Linked DNA regions of Saccharomyces cerevisiae S288C. Changing the gene in region 1 together with any one later gene gives a genetic interaction. Each region holds a gene or a part of one and is shown in the gene's direction. Other genes may lie near its edges.

Region 1 (6,135 bases):
TATTGATGTTTAATCTTTCACCGTCAAACAATTAACATATATAGTATATATATTCTTTTATAGAATACTGCTTGAGCTATTTTTTTACTTGACAGAATGGCGCCGCGAAGAACCCCTAAATTTTGTAGCCCTAATTTCGATCAGTTATATATAGCTATGGCACCCTCTTGAATAGCTTCATGATTGGATCTTTTTATATAGTTTCCACGTACCACGCAAAACTTGTCTCAAGTAGCCACTTTACGAGGATTTTGAACGGATTTCTAGCAGTTTCTTCACGCTGGGGCGCTGTTGCATTCTCTTATACCAAGCTCGAAGCGCCTCGCACTCTTCCGGCACTTGTAGTTTTACAATTGCAGCAAATATTAGACCAGCTATTACTGTGATGTCAGCCATTGAGAATGAATCACCAGCAACATATGGGCGTTCTCTGAGAACGGTATCAAAATAATGCATTCCATGTAGGGCTTTGTCGCGCTGGCGAAGTCCCCACTCTTTGTTTTGGTAAAGCTCGACTTCAGGCCCCAATCCAGGTGTAGCATGGTGAAAATAAACACTAACAGGGTCGAGCAGTTCCAACTCTGCGCGTTTGTTCATCATGTGGATTACGCCTTTTTCCAGCGGTGTTTTGCCGGTAAGAGTGGGTGTACCATCAAGTGCATCAATGTATTCAGTAATGGCTGTGCATTCAGCGATTAAAGTCCCGTCATCAAGTTCAAGCACTGGCACTGTGCCTGAATAGTTCTTGGCAAGAAATTCAGGCTTCTTGTGCTCTCCCTTCCAGAGGTTGATCCTCACAAATTGCACACTTGATAGCATGTTCTTCTCAGCCAAGGCAATGCGGACTCGGGCCGGATAAGGCCCTGCGGGTGTGTCATATATTATCATTTTTTGTTTCATCTTTTCACCTCCATTGTAAATCAGGAAACCTCTGCCATTCATGTATCCTTTGTAGGTACTTTATATAGAGCACCAAGTTTCTATCCTTTAGCAGGAAGCACATTATTAATCATTTGAGACGTAAACGAATGAATTAGTAAGCAGTGAAAGAAATTCGAGCACTAAGCGCGACCTAAGGGAACGGACACGGAACGGAGAAACTGAAGTATCAAATACTTCCATTTGATCAAACCACTTGTATCCACTCCCTGTTTTGCACACGGTAGTAGAAGGTCTTTTGAATATTTACTGTAAATACCGATTTCTATGTCCTTCTTGTCCGATTATAGGATTCGGGTCATTTCCAGCGCCTACTTTCCTTCTTGATTTCAAAATGTGTGGTTAACGTACTCCCAATTGCACTACTGTTCCTACAGTTCACGCGCACCTCTTTCTGATGAAAATGCAGCTGCATTAATCTGCGATCTATTGGCATCTCGCTCTTGTATCTGCCCTCCATTCGTGAAATTTTACTCTATTACCATCTTTGATCATTTTTTTGTCGCAAATGTGATACGGCATCCATCGAATTTTGCTCGTAATTGTTTGCCATTATCGCCCTTTTCATTCCGTATTATTCATCCACTCCGCTTCATAATGGGTTCCAAAAAAAGAACTATTGTACGAGCTTTTAGACTCACGAAAACATTACTTGAACAATAATTAGCGCCTGCAGAACTTGACATAATAAAATTCCATTTTCGATATCTAGCTGTCTGAAGATATGATATCTAAGTAATACGGGAAAGTTTCCGCTATTATTCTCTGTTGCAAGCTCACGTGAAAATGTGGATTCGCGAGTGGGGTGTAAGTGAGGATTGCCAAGCCTTTTGTTCGAAAACTTCTGCAGGAAGCGTTGTGTTGCAAGGATGATGCAGCATGAAATATGTGTTTTCTTTTTTTCGAGGTTCACTCCTACAGGTGATTCCTTCGAGAAATTCTGCAACCCATTGTGATATGATGCCTGGCCGAAAGATTTCTTCATTTCTTCGGAGCAGGTTCGGCCCGAAATCCTCATGATCGAGCCGAATGCCAAGAAGTAAAACACCAGGATGACTAACCAGTTATTATCATGTGTATACAGTACTTTGGTACCTTTATCAAGAAGTATACTAAAATATACCAACACCACACACATGCACATGGTAGCTGAGCGAACAGTTTCGAGATTTCAGCATTAATTTCATCTAATAAGACTTTCCGTCTGCTTTCAAGATCAACGTGCTGAACATTTTTACTCTGCTTTCATAATACTCCCATTTTAGGCTTTGATTCAAAAGCCCACTCAATGCAATACCTAAAATGATATCCTTCAAAGATATGTTTAATGAATATGCAGCCACAGCTTTGAATTCAGATTGACCTTGTGTTGCATTAAGTCAGACACCTCTAGATTTGTGTGGCTGCTCTCAAGAAAGGATGTTGAAGAAGATTTATTTACGGAAGAAATAACTGTATACGGCATTTTATTCTTTCTTAAACGAGCAAATTAAAGAATAGACGGATAGAGACTGGAGCTTTAGCATGTGTTCCGAGAAGTCCTTGACACGCGCCACGGTTGTTATGCCGCACACTACAATGATGTGTTTGAAAAAGTATATTAATGCCTATTGTCAAGATGCAATTCATCAATTCCAGCATTGAGTGATTCTTCTCTGGTGCGGTAAAACATAAATTTTAAATCTAGTACTCAACCACCACTGAACAACTATTAATCATCGTGGAAATTATTATGACGGAAATTGAATTTGGGCAACCCCTTCCCAGCAATCTAGACTATGCTGTTTCTTTTGGCATTCCTACATGGGATTCGGCAATAGGCTATGCGGAAAAGGTGCCAGAGGTAATAGGCAAAATGGCTACAGGATATCCGAGGTACTTTCCTCAACCCCCCGTCCAGAGGCTTTGTGCTTACTTTGTTAAGAAATTTGGGCGAGGTTCAGAAAACTGTCGTCCTTTTCCATCCGTTAACCTGGGTTTAAAGTGTTTCGAGTACGTAAAATCTGTCTCAGGACCTGAAAGTAAAGCTCACCTTGAAGTGGAAACAGTTACGATTAAAAACCGTGGGGCAAAAACGTCGAAAGAACCGGCGGAATTGGTGCTAACCATTGCTGCTGTCCTTGCATCGGAGGAAGAGTTCGAGACTGTGAAAGAGTATTGGAAATTAAGAGGTGAATGTGTATCTAGTCGATTGGCGTTGTCTGTCAACCAACTTCTTGACTGCGCTAATCATGGCTCAGAGCAGGTATTGCGTGAGCTAGAGGCTGGTGTTTTTGCAGCAAAGAAGGGGGAGGAGAAAGCAAAGAACCTGATAAAGGGAAGGATAGTTGAGAATCGCTTCAGGCCCTTTGGTTTGGAGAAGAAAACCCCGAATTGGGAGGGACTCAACCTCAACCCAAATGAAGACGTTTATCTTGTATCAAGTGGCATGTCTGCAATATCTACGGCTCGTAATTTACTCACCTTTTGGGAGGAGAAGAAGAATTCAGGAGATTCATTAAACAAGACCACCTCTGACCAAAAGAAAAAGCCATTATTATGTGACACTGTTGGCATCTTCGGCTTCCCTTTCAAAGATACGCAGGTCATTATGACTAAATTTGGAAAATGTAAATTTTTTGGATTTGGAAATTCTAGAGACGTTGTCGAATTACAAAAGTTTTTAGAAACAAGCAAACAACGCATTCTTGCCGTTTTCGTCGAGACACCTTCAAATCCTCTGCTGAATATGCCGGATTTGAAAAAATTGAGGAGTTTGGCCGACCAGTATGGCTTTTTTATTGTAATTGATGATACTATTGGGGGCCTTAACGTTGACATCTTGCCCTATGCTGATATAGTCAGCACGTCCCTGACTAAGCTTTTCAATGGTGCTAGTAATGTAATGGGCGGCTCTGTCGTTTTAAATCCGAAATCATCTCTGTATCCATATGCTCGTGAGTACTTCAGGAGCGCTAATTTCGAGGATTTGTTATGGTGTGAAGATGCGATAGTTTTAGAACGTAATTCCAGGGATTTTGAAGATAGAACTTTACGTGCTAATGCAAACACAGGAATATTGTTGAATGATTTGCTTTTACCCGAGGAGGGGAAAATATGCAAAAAGATTTATTATCCAACTGTTACTTCTAAGGAGACCTTTGAGAACTACGAAAGTGTACGTAATGAACGTGGTGGCTATGGATGCTTGTTCTCTGTAGCCTTTTTCAATGAGGGCGATGCAAAAGCATTCTATGACTCTTTAAAGGTATTCAAGGGACCTTCTAATGGTACTAACTTTACCTTAGCATGTCCATATGTCCATCTGGCGCACCACTCAGAATTAGAAGAAGTTTCCAAGTTTGGGGCCGACCCCAACATTATTAGAGTAAGCGTAGGTTTAGAAGATATCCAGTGGTTATTGAAAGTTTTTTCAAGTGCTTTAGATGTTGTGAAAAGCAGAGGCTCCAAACACTCATGAAGCAGATCATGAGTAGAATATCAAAAATCAAGAATTCTTTATAATCTTTATAGAATATTGTTTATAAAAGTTTTTTTCCATTCTAGCATATAATTTTTTTGGAGGAAGTCTTTTCTGGAACCTTCACATGGATCTTAATTAATGAAAGTAGACAGAGCTCATAAGATCACTAGTTGTTTATAAACTGAAGATGTTCCTTCTTATTGACTTCAACATTATATCGCTCTGAATTAGTTGATCTGTAACTTCAGAGTTTCTTTACCAGAATAAAAGCGTCACAGTTTTTCTTTAGTTTATATGTACACAGGTTGGGGTTTACTATAAACTATAAAAAAGAAGTGTTGTCGCCGCTATTTTAAGGTTTATACACAATTTTAACCAAAAAAAAGAATAAGTTGAGCAACGTTGGAACTGCCTCTGCAACGAATTCCGGCTATATACAACCTGCATCTTTGAAATTCAAATATCCAAAGTTAATGAAGAAGGATAATAATTTTCATCATTCAAAAACTTTAGATCTTCCACGGGCCTTTCCGCTTGTGGAGTAATCCTGAACGCATGTCTGTGAATTGGTTCTTCCCAATCAATCACTGCTGAATGTTGAACTCTGCGGTTATCCCAAATGACGACGGAATGAGGTTCCCATTTGGCTCTTAACTGTAAATCATGGCTGCTCTCCACTAGATTGTACAAGAAATTCAAAAGTGATTCAGATTCTTGTCTTTTCAATTCGACTATTTTCCTAGAAAATGCACGATTGACATACAAGCATTTCTTTTTCAAGACAGGATGAACTCTGACCAGTGGATGAATATGCGTGACAGGTGCTCTTCTTTTTATGCCGCCCTGGCGCTGTGAATTCTCTGCCTGTTCCTTTGAGCTATGGATGACATGAAGCGTGCTCAAGAAATCTTGCAAAGGCTTCGACAACCTGTCGAAAGCCTCGATCGTATCCGCAAATAACGTATCTCCACCACCATCAGGACCTTCAACAACACTAAAGAAAGTATAAGAAGGTGGCTGTAACTCGTAAGAGACGTCTGTGTGCCAGCCACCAGATGATGTCGAGTCATCAAAAACTCTTGCAAATTCTTCCGCATCAGGTCTTCGGAAAGTGATATGCAGCTCAGGATTGTTTTGAGGGTGGCCACTAGTTTGATGAATGTGCAACTTGCCAAAATGTCTTCCGTATTCAGTCACATAATCGGGTCCCTCGTCAGCAAAATTCTGATTTCTAAAGACAACTACTCCCTTTTGGGCGACAAGCAAAGCGAGTTCATCTTTTGCAGCATCAGAAAGATCAGTTAGCTGGATCCCATTGATCTCGAGACCTAATTTCGGGGTGATCTTCTTCACCTTTAGTTGACCAACGTTTTCTTTTGCAAAAAGGTTTGAAAAGTTACCGTCAGCTCTCAAAGCAGGATCATGGTATTCGTGAAATTCCAGCGGGCCATACTTTTCAGTAGGATCCCATGTAGGCAAATAATCTGGATACTTCGATTTCTCTCTATAAGATTTACGGATTTTCAATAAACCAGATGGAGAGACCTCATCTTGGCCATCATAAAAATGGGTATCAAAATTCCCGTAACCTTGCTTGGAGGTATAATTCAGGTTTTTCAACCCATTTGTAATGATTTTGACTGGTAAATCGGTAGATGGAAGAGGGATTGCTGTTTGAGCTGCTGCAGGAGACATATTTTAACTGGGTTACTGTGCTATGTTTGTACAAGTAT
Region 2 (6,898 bases), on another chromosome or scaffold:
TGTAGTATTCAAATGCAGTTTCTATAATCTGATCATGAGATAATTGCAGCCCCTGTTGGCGGCTTGGAACACGAAAGTCGTGCTCTTTAACTTCAAGCTTTTTAGAAGGAACCGGAAGTAGCTTATGGCCATTTTCGATGGTATCGATATCCGCGTCAATGGAAGTATTTTTCAGTTGCATGAACTCACCTTCGACAAGATTCGCAATACTATTAGACATTAGTTCTACGACTTCGGGGTTGTGTAATCTTGAAATTGACACTGTTGCTCTCCCTAAGAGAAAATCACCCGCCAAAACGGCCATCTTGTTGGTAAAGGCAGCATTTCCGCTTGGCCTTCCTCTTCTTGTATCAGAATGATCAATAACGTCATCATGAAGTAAAGACGCAGTGTGTATCATCTCTACAATCTCTGCTAATCTTCTCTGTTTGGGTAAAATCCCTCTTTGTTTGTCAAAAGTTTCTTCTGGCAAAGGCTCAGGACCTTTTGTCAAGGGATTTAGTGGTTTAATACCGTGAAGAATATGTAGTGGGGATATGCTACTTGCAGGACGTTGAAATAGTTGATTTTGACTAGGTTTAGAGTAAATTGGGTCCTCAGGAACATCCGACTTGTCAATTTTCAAGTGATTTCTTTCTGTCATGGGAATTTCAGAAAGTGCTCTTGACAACAACAACACTAACAAGGGACGTACTTTTTTGCCTTCTGTTTCAAAATAGTAACTAGTAACCTTGTTTAGCACCGGATGGCCAGACCCGATGAGGGCAACTATATTTTTGGCCAATGTGTTCATCTCCTTCGAGACTAATGATATGGGATTATTCCAAAGAATCTTGGGAGTTACCAACTTACTGGCAGCGTTTAAAGCAACTGCAAAGGAGGATTTAAAGCGGCATCTTCGAGATGAAATCAATTTGATGTGATGAGCAGCGCCAGACCTTTGAAACATCGTCCCACTGTACTCAATTCGGACTGAATGGCACACTTCTTGTGTTGTAGAAAATCTCTATAGATTATAATGTGTCTTACTTTAATCTTCTAATCCCCTAACCCTGTTACCCTCGCTCGGGCTTTTTCCGAAGATGCCAACAAAATGCTTAGAATGAAAAAAAAAAAAATTTTCGTAATAATGACAGGTTTCAATAGAACTTAAGCAGTAAAAATAGGGTAAACACAGGTAAAAGACGGTATGGAAACGGATAGTGGTATACCTGGTCATTCATTTGTGTTAAAGTGGACAAAAAACATCTTTTCGCGCACATTGCGTGCATCTAACTGTGTACCTAGACATGTTGGGTTCATCATGGATGGGAACAGGAGATTCGCTAGAAAGAAAGAGATGGACGTAAAGGAGGGCCACGAGGCAGGATTTGTTAGTATGAGTAGAATCTTAGAACTGTGTTATGAAGCAGGAGTCGATACGGCTACCGTGTTTGCCTTTTCAATTGAAAATTTCAAGAGGAGCTCACGGGAAGTTGAATCACTGATGACTTTAGCGCGCGAAAGGATACGACAAATCACAGAACGTGGAGAGCTGGCCTGTAAGTATGGGGTACGCATTAAAATTATCGGCGATCTCTCTTTGTTGGATAAGTCTCTATTAGAAGATGTTCGGGTTGCTGTGGAAACTACAAAGAACAACAAAAGGGCCACGTTAAATATCTGCTTTCCATATACAGGCAGGGAAGAAATCTTGCATGCCATGAAAGAAACAATTGTTCAACATAAGAAGGGCGCCGCTATAGACGAAAGCACGTTAGAATCGCATCTCTACACGGCGGGGGTACCCCCTTTAGATTTATTGATTAGGACAAGTGGCGTTTCCAGATTAAGTGACTTTTTGATATGGCAGGCATCGAGTAAGGGCGTACGCATCGAATTGCTGGATTGTTTATGGCCAGAGTTTGGACCTATACGGATGGCATGGATTTTATTAAAATTTTCGTTTCACAAATCCTTTTTAAACAAAGAGTACAGATTAGAGGAAGGTGATTATGACGAGGAAACCAATGGGGACCCCATCGATTTGAAAGAAAAAAAGTTGAATTAAGAAAGGTCTGCATTTTTTTCCTACCACATGGCATAGATATTTATAGAGTAATGAGCAAGATAAATGAGTTCGCAAAAGAACATTCAAATAATTAGTAATAAATGAGTAGAAATTCACGCATCTTTATAGAGTTTATAATGCAAATCTCCGCGCGGGGTAATTTGAAGTCCAATTTTTCCGAGCGGCGTGCCAGTTCCACTAAATTATATAAAGCGGATAGGAATTGTAATTACCTCCCAAAGTTAATATTCGACTAATGTATATTTCATATGTTATAGCGCTTGTAGGAACTGTTTTCCATTAAAACTAATATTCTTTATTTCTCAATTTTATTTATTTATTTATATTTTTCCTTTGCAAATATATTTGACGCAGGTTCGGATCAGACATTTGGTATATAAGGAGACCTGCATATACTCAAATAATGGTAGATTTTTTACCAAAAGTAACGGAAATAAATCCTCCATCCGAAGGTAATGATGGTGAAGATAACATAAAGCCACTTTCAAGTGGTTCAGAGCAGCGGCCGTTGAAAGAAGAGGGGCAACAAGGTGGTAGAAGACATCACCGGCGGTTGTCCTCTATGCATGAGTATTTTGACCCGTTTTCCAACGCAGAGGTCTATTATGGACCAATAACAGATCCAAGAAAACAGTCAAAAATTCATAGACTAAATAGAACCAGAACTATGAGTGTTTTCAATAAAGTTTCTGACTTCAAAAACGGAATGAAGGATTATACCCTGAAAAGGAGGGGTTCTGAAGACGACAGCTTCCTCAGCAGCCAAGGTAACCGTAGATTTTATATTGATAATGTGGATCTCGCTTTAGATGAGCTGCTCGCTAGTGAGGACACAGACAAGAATCACCAAATTACCATAGAAGACACTGGGCCCAAAGTTATTAAAGTCGGGACGGCCAATTCCAACGGTTTCAAACATGTAAATGTTAGGGGAACATATATGCTTTCTAACTTGTTGCAGGAACTAACCATTGCAAAAAGTTTCGGACGACACCAAATATTTTTGGATGAGGCGCGTATAAATGAAAACCCTGTTGATAGATTATCAAGATTGATAACGACTCAATTTTGGACGAGTTTAACGAGAAGAGTTGATCTTTATAATATTGCAGAAATTGCTAGAGACTCAAAAATAGATACGCCAGGCGCTAAAAATCCAAGAATTTATGTTCCATATAACTGCCCAGAGCAGTACGAATTTTACATTCAGGCATCTCAAATGAACCCGTCCTTAAAACTTGAAGTGGAGTACTTACCAAAAGATATTACAGCAGAGTATGTTAAATCATTAAATGATACACCGGGTTTGTTAGCCCTGGCTATGGAAGAACACGTTAATCCATCTACTGGTGAAAGGTCCCTAGTTGGTTATCCTTATGCGGTACCTGGCGGTAGATTCAATGAATTGTATGGCTGGGATTCATATTTAATGGCACTGGGACTCATAGAAAGTAATAAGGTTGATGTTGCAAGAGGTATGGTGGAGCATTTTATATTCGAAATTGATCACTATAGTAAAATTTTGAATGCTAATAGGAGTTATTATCTTTGCAGATCTCAGCCACCATTCCTAACCGATATGGCTCTGCTCGTATTTGAAAAGATAGGAGGTAAGAATAATCCAAACGCTATTCAGTTGTTAAAACGCGCGTTCAGAGCTGCTATTAAAGAATATAAAGAGGTGTGGATGTCGAGCCCTAGGTTAGATTCTCTGACAGGGCTGTCTTGTTATCATTCTGATGGTATTGGTATCCCTCCGGAAACTGAACCAGATCATTTTGATACTATATTATTACCGTATGCTGAAAAGTACAATGTTACTCTGGAAAAGCTTAGGTACCTTTATAACGAAGGCATGATTAAAGAACCCAAACTGGATGCATTTTTTTTACATGATCGTGCCGTGAGAGAGTCAGGACATGACACGACTTATAGGTTTGAAGGTGTATGTGCATATTTAGCGACAATTGATCTAAACTCCTTGCTCTATAAATATGAGAAAGATATTGCTTTCGTCATTAAGGAGTATTTTGGTAATGAATATAAAGATGAGAATGATGGAACGGTAACCGATTCTGAACACTGGGAGGAGCTAGCTGAACTGAGGAAAACAAGGATTAATAAGTATATGTGGGACGAAGATTCAGGGTTTTTCTTCTATTATAACACGAAACTGAAATGCAGAACGTCTTATGAGTCTGCAACGACTTTTTGGAGTTTGTGGGCTGGTCTTGCAACTGAAGAGCAAGCAAAAATCACAGTAGAAAAAGCTCTTCCTCAGTTAGAAATGCTCGGCGGACTAGTTGCATGCACAGAAAAATCAAGAGGTCCTATTTCTATTGATAGACCGATCAGGCAATGGGATTATCCTTTTGGTTGGGCGCCGCACCAAATATTAGCCTGGAAAGGTTTATCTGCATATGGTTATCAACAAGTAGCTACAAGATTGGCTTATAGGTGGCTGTACATGATTACAAAATCATTTGTTGATTATAACGGAATGGTGGTAGAAAAATATGATGTGACAAGAGGGACTGATCCGCATCGCGTTGATGCGGAATATGGTAATCAAGGTGCTGATTTTAAGGGCGTCGCTACAGAAGGCTTTGGTTGGGTGAACACAAGTTATTTGCTCGGATTGAAATATATGAATAATCATGCAAGAAGGGCTCTCGCTGCTTGTAGTCCACCATTGCCATTTTTCAATAGTTTGAAACCCTCTGAGAAAAAATTGTATTACCTATAATATTGACGAACATATGTAAATAAGATATATGTTATATTCTTCTTTCTATCAATAACCATGAGATTGTGCCTCAGTAATATTTGAGACGATTTAGAGTAAGGTCAAATATTATTATTAATCAAGTTGTGTAAAGGCTCATTTGTGAAGGTTAGAATAGTAATCGATGATTTTCAAGTAAAAGTGTTTGAAGGGCATTTCAGTAACATCTTCAAACTAGGAGTTTGTTGAGACAAAAAAGTCTGATTTTCATAAGATCATAACTTACGCTTTGAAGATCGTTATGAGTACCTTGTAGCTTGCCAGATCTTCTTGCTTATTCTTAAGCTCTTGGGTAGTACTGTATAAGACTGCTTGACATCGGGAACACTATCATTACCGTGTGATAGAATTCTCGTACCAAGCCGGTTCACCTTTGCGTGGTCTAGTGCATAGGAAGAATGACTAATAGAAAGCTTTCATTTCTATTAGTGTCTTAAATGCGAAGAAGGTATGGGAATCTATTACATACATGAAGAATATAGGATCTGTATATCGTCGTCACCGACGTAAGGTTTTTTTGTCAATTCTCGGTGAACAATTTTTTGCAAGAAATATATTGATACTTCTTGTTGAAATATTTTTCTTTTTCGGAAAACAAAAACATAAAATAATTATTTAAGAAAAAAAATTAATTAATAAATTTAAATAGAAAATCTTTTTTACTTAATAATAATTAAATAAATAAGTCACATGATTTATGTAGGATCAATTTGCTCAAGATTAATTTATTATTATTGATATTAGTAGGTGCCAGTTGAATAGCTATATTTTCAGTCTGTTTGAACGTTCTTTTTTTCATTTTCTGCTGAAAGCAAGTACTCCTACTTTTATTACTTTACATGTTATCGGAGGCCTGCACAGACACTTGTATCCTATACTATCAAGGTAAATATGATTGATTGATCCTCTTGGGAAATGGGATTTTAAGTTTTGTTAGCATTCTGGTTTGCCAACCTGTTGGTAAAGCACTATTTTTCAAGCTTTTGCAACGAGATTTGTCTCTTTGATTTTTTATTTATGATTTCTAACTTTTTACTTTTAGTTAAACTATTAAAGAATAATTTTCGCAAGGTACATAGCGATTTAAGTAGTTCAGAAAAGAAATTATTTAAAAATTACTCGCTCTCTTATTTGAAATGAAGATGGTTTTCAGACAAACTCCTACACAAGCTTGTTACTGGCTTTCAGTCCGAAAACAGCTCCAAACCCTTTAATAAAACCTTTCGTTTCTTTTACTTTTTATTCGAATTATATAGCTCTTTGACATTCCTTTTTTAGTATGATTCAAGCTCCCCTCTTTTCCACCCCGTGAAAAACAGAATATCATTAACCGGGATTCACTGACATCGTCAAAAGGAGAGATCAAGATATTCAGTTTTTGTCATTGCCGTCGTGATCATTAACTATAAAGCACATAAACTACAAGTTTAGAAAATGCCCAAGATCTTTTGTTTAGCGGACGTGTGTATGGTCCCTATTGGCACCGACTCTGCTAGTATTTCTGATTTTGTTGCACTCATTGAAAAAAAAATCAGAGAAAGCCCATTAAAGAGCACTTTACACAGTGCAGGAACAACAATTGAAGGGCCTTGGGATGATGTGATGGGTTTGATTGGCGAAATCCATGAATACGGTCATGAGAAAGGATATGTTAGAGTACACACTGATATTCGTGTTGGGACTAGAACTGATAAGCACCAAACTGCTCAAGATAAGATCGATGTTGTTTTAAAAAAAATTTCTCAATGAATGCTCGTGTAGTGAACCTAAATAGGGTATATCTTTAAGGAGAGTTTAAGAAACAATTTAATAATAACTGTTTGCAAAATATCTTTCCCAATTTTTTTTGTTTATAAAGTTATATATATACATTTATACAACTCCCTTCGGAGGCTGATAGACTAGACCCTTCCAATCATATCTGGACAAGTAACAGAACCCTAATGTTACAATATATAAAAAATGCCACTAATAAAAAGAAAACATGACTAAATCACAATACCTAGTGAGTGACTTAGGCTTGAGTAGAGGAGGAGTATTTG

Evidence for each region. Genes that interact genetically often act in the same process or in processes that back each other up.
Region 2: mutations in HSU1 (region 1) and NTH2 together harm fitness more than expected from each alone (negative genetic interaction), as found in Saccharomyces cerevisiae (one large-scale study listed by BioGRID).

What each region holds. Positions count from the first base shown.
Region 1 is NC_001144.5:20,898-27,032, forward strand, and holds HSU1 (cystathionine gamma-synthase), read left to right. Parts: upstream 1-2,671; coding exon 2,672-4,399; downstream 4,400-6,135. Other genes in the region: glutathione transferase GTT2, read right to left, coding at 241-942; JLP1 (sulfonate dioxygenase), read right to left, coding at 4,859-6,097. UniProt on the Saccharomyces cerevisiae protein: Plays a role in inorganic sulfur assimilation during sulfur-limited conditions; catalyzes the conversion of O-acetyl-L-homoserine (OAH) into homocysteine in the methionine biosynthesis pathway.
Region 2 is NC_001134.8:236,860-243,757, reverse strand, and holds NTH2 (alpha,alpha-trehalase NTH2), read left to right. Parts: upstream 1-2,474; coding exon 2,475-4,817; downstream 4,818-6,898. Other genes in the region: COQ1 (trans-hexaprenyltranstransferase), read right to left, coding at 1-949; RER2 (ditrans,polycis-polyprenyl diphosphate synthase), read left to right, coding at 1,190-2,050; ECM15 (Ecm15p), read left to right, coding at 6,291-6,605; HTB2 (histone H2B), read right to left, coding at 6,871-6,898.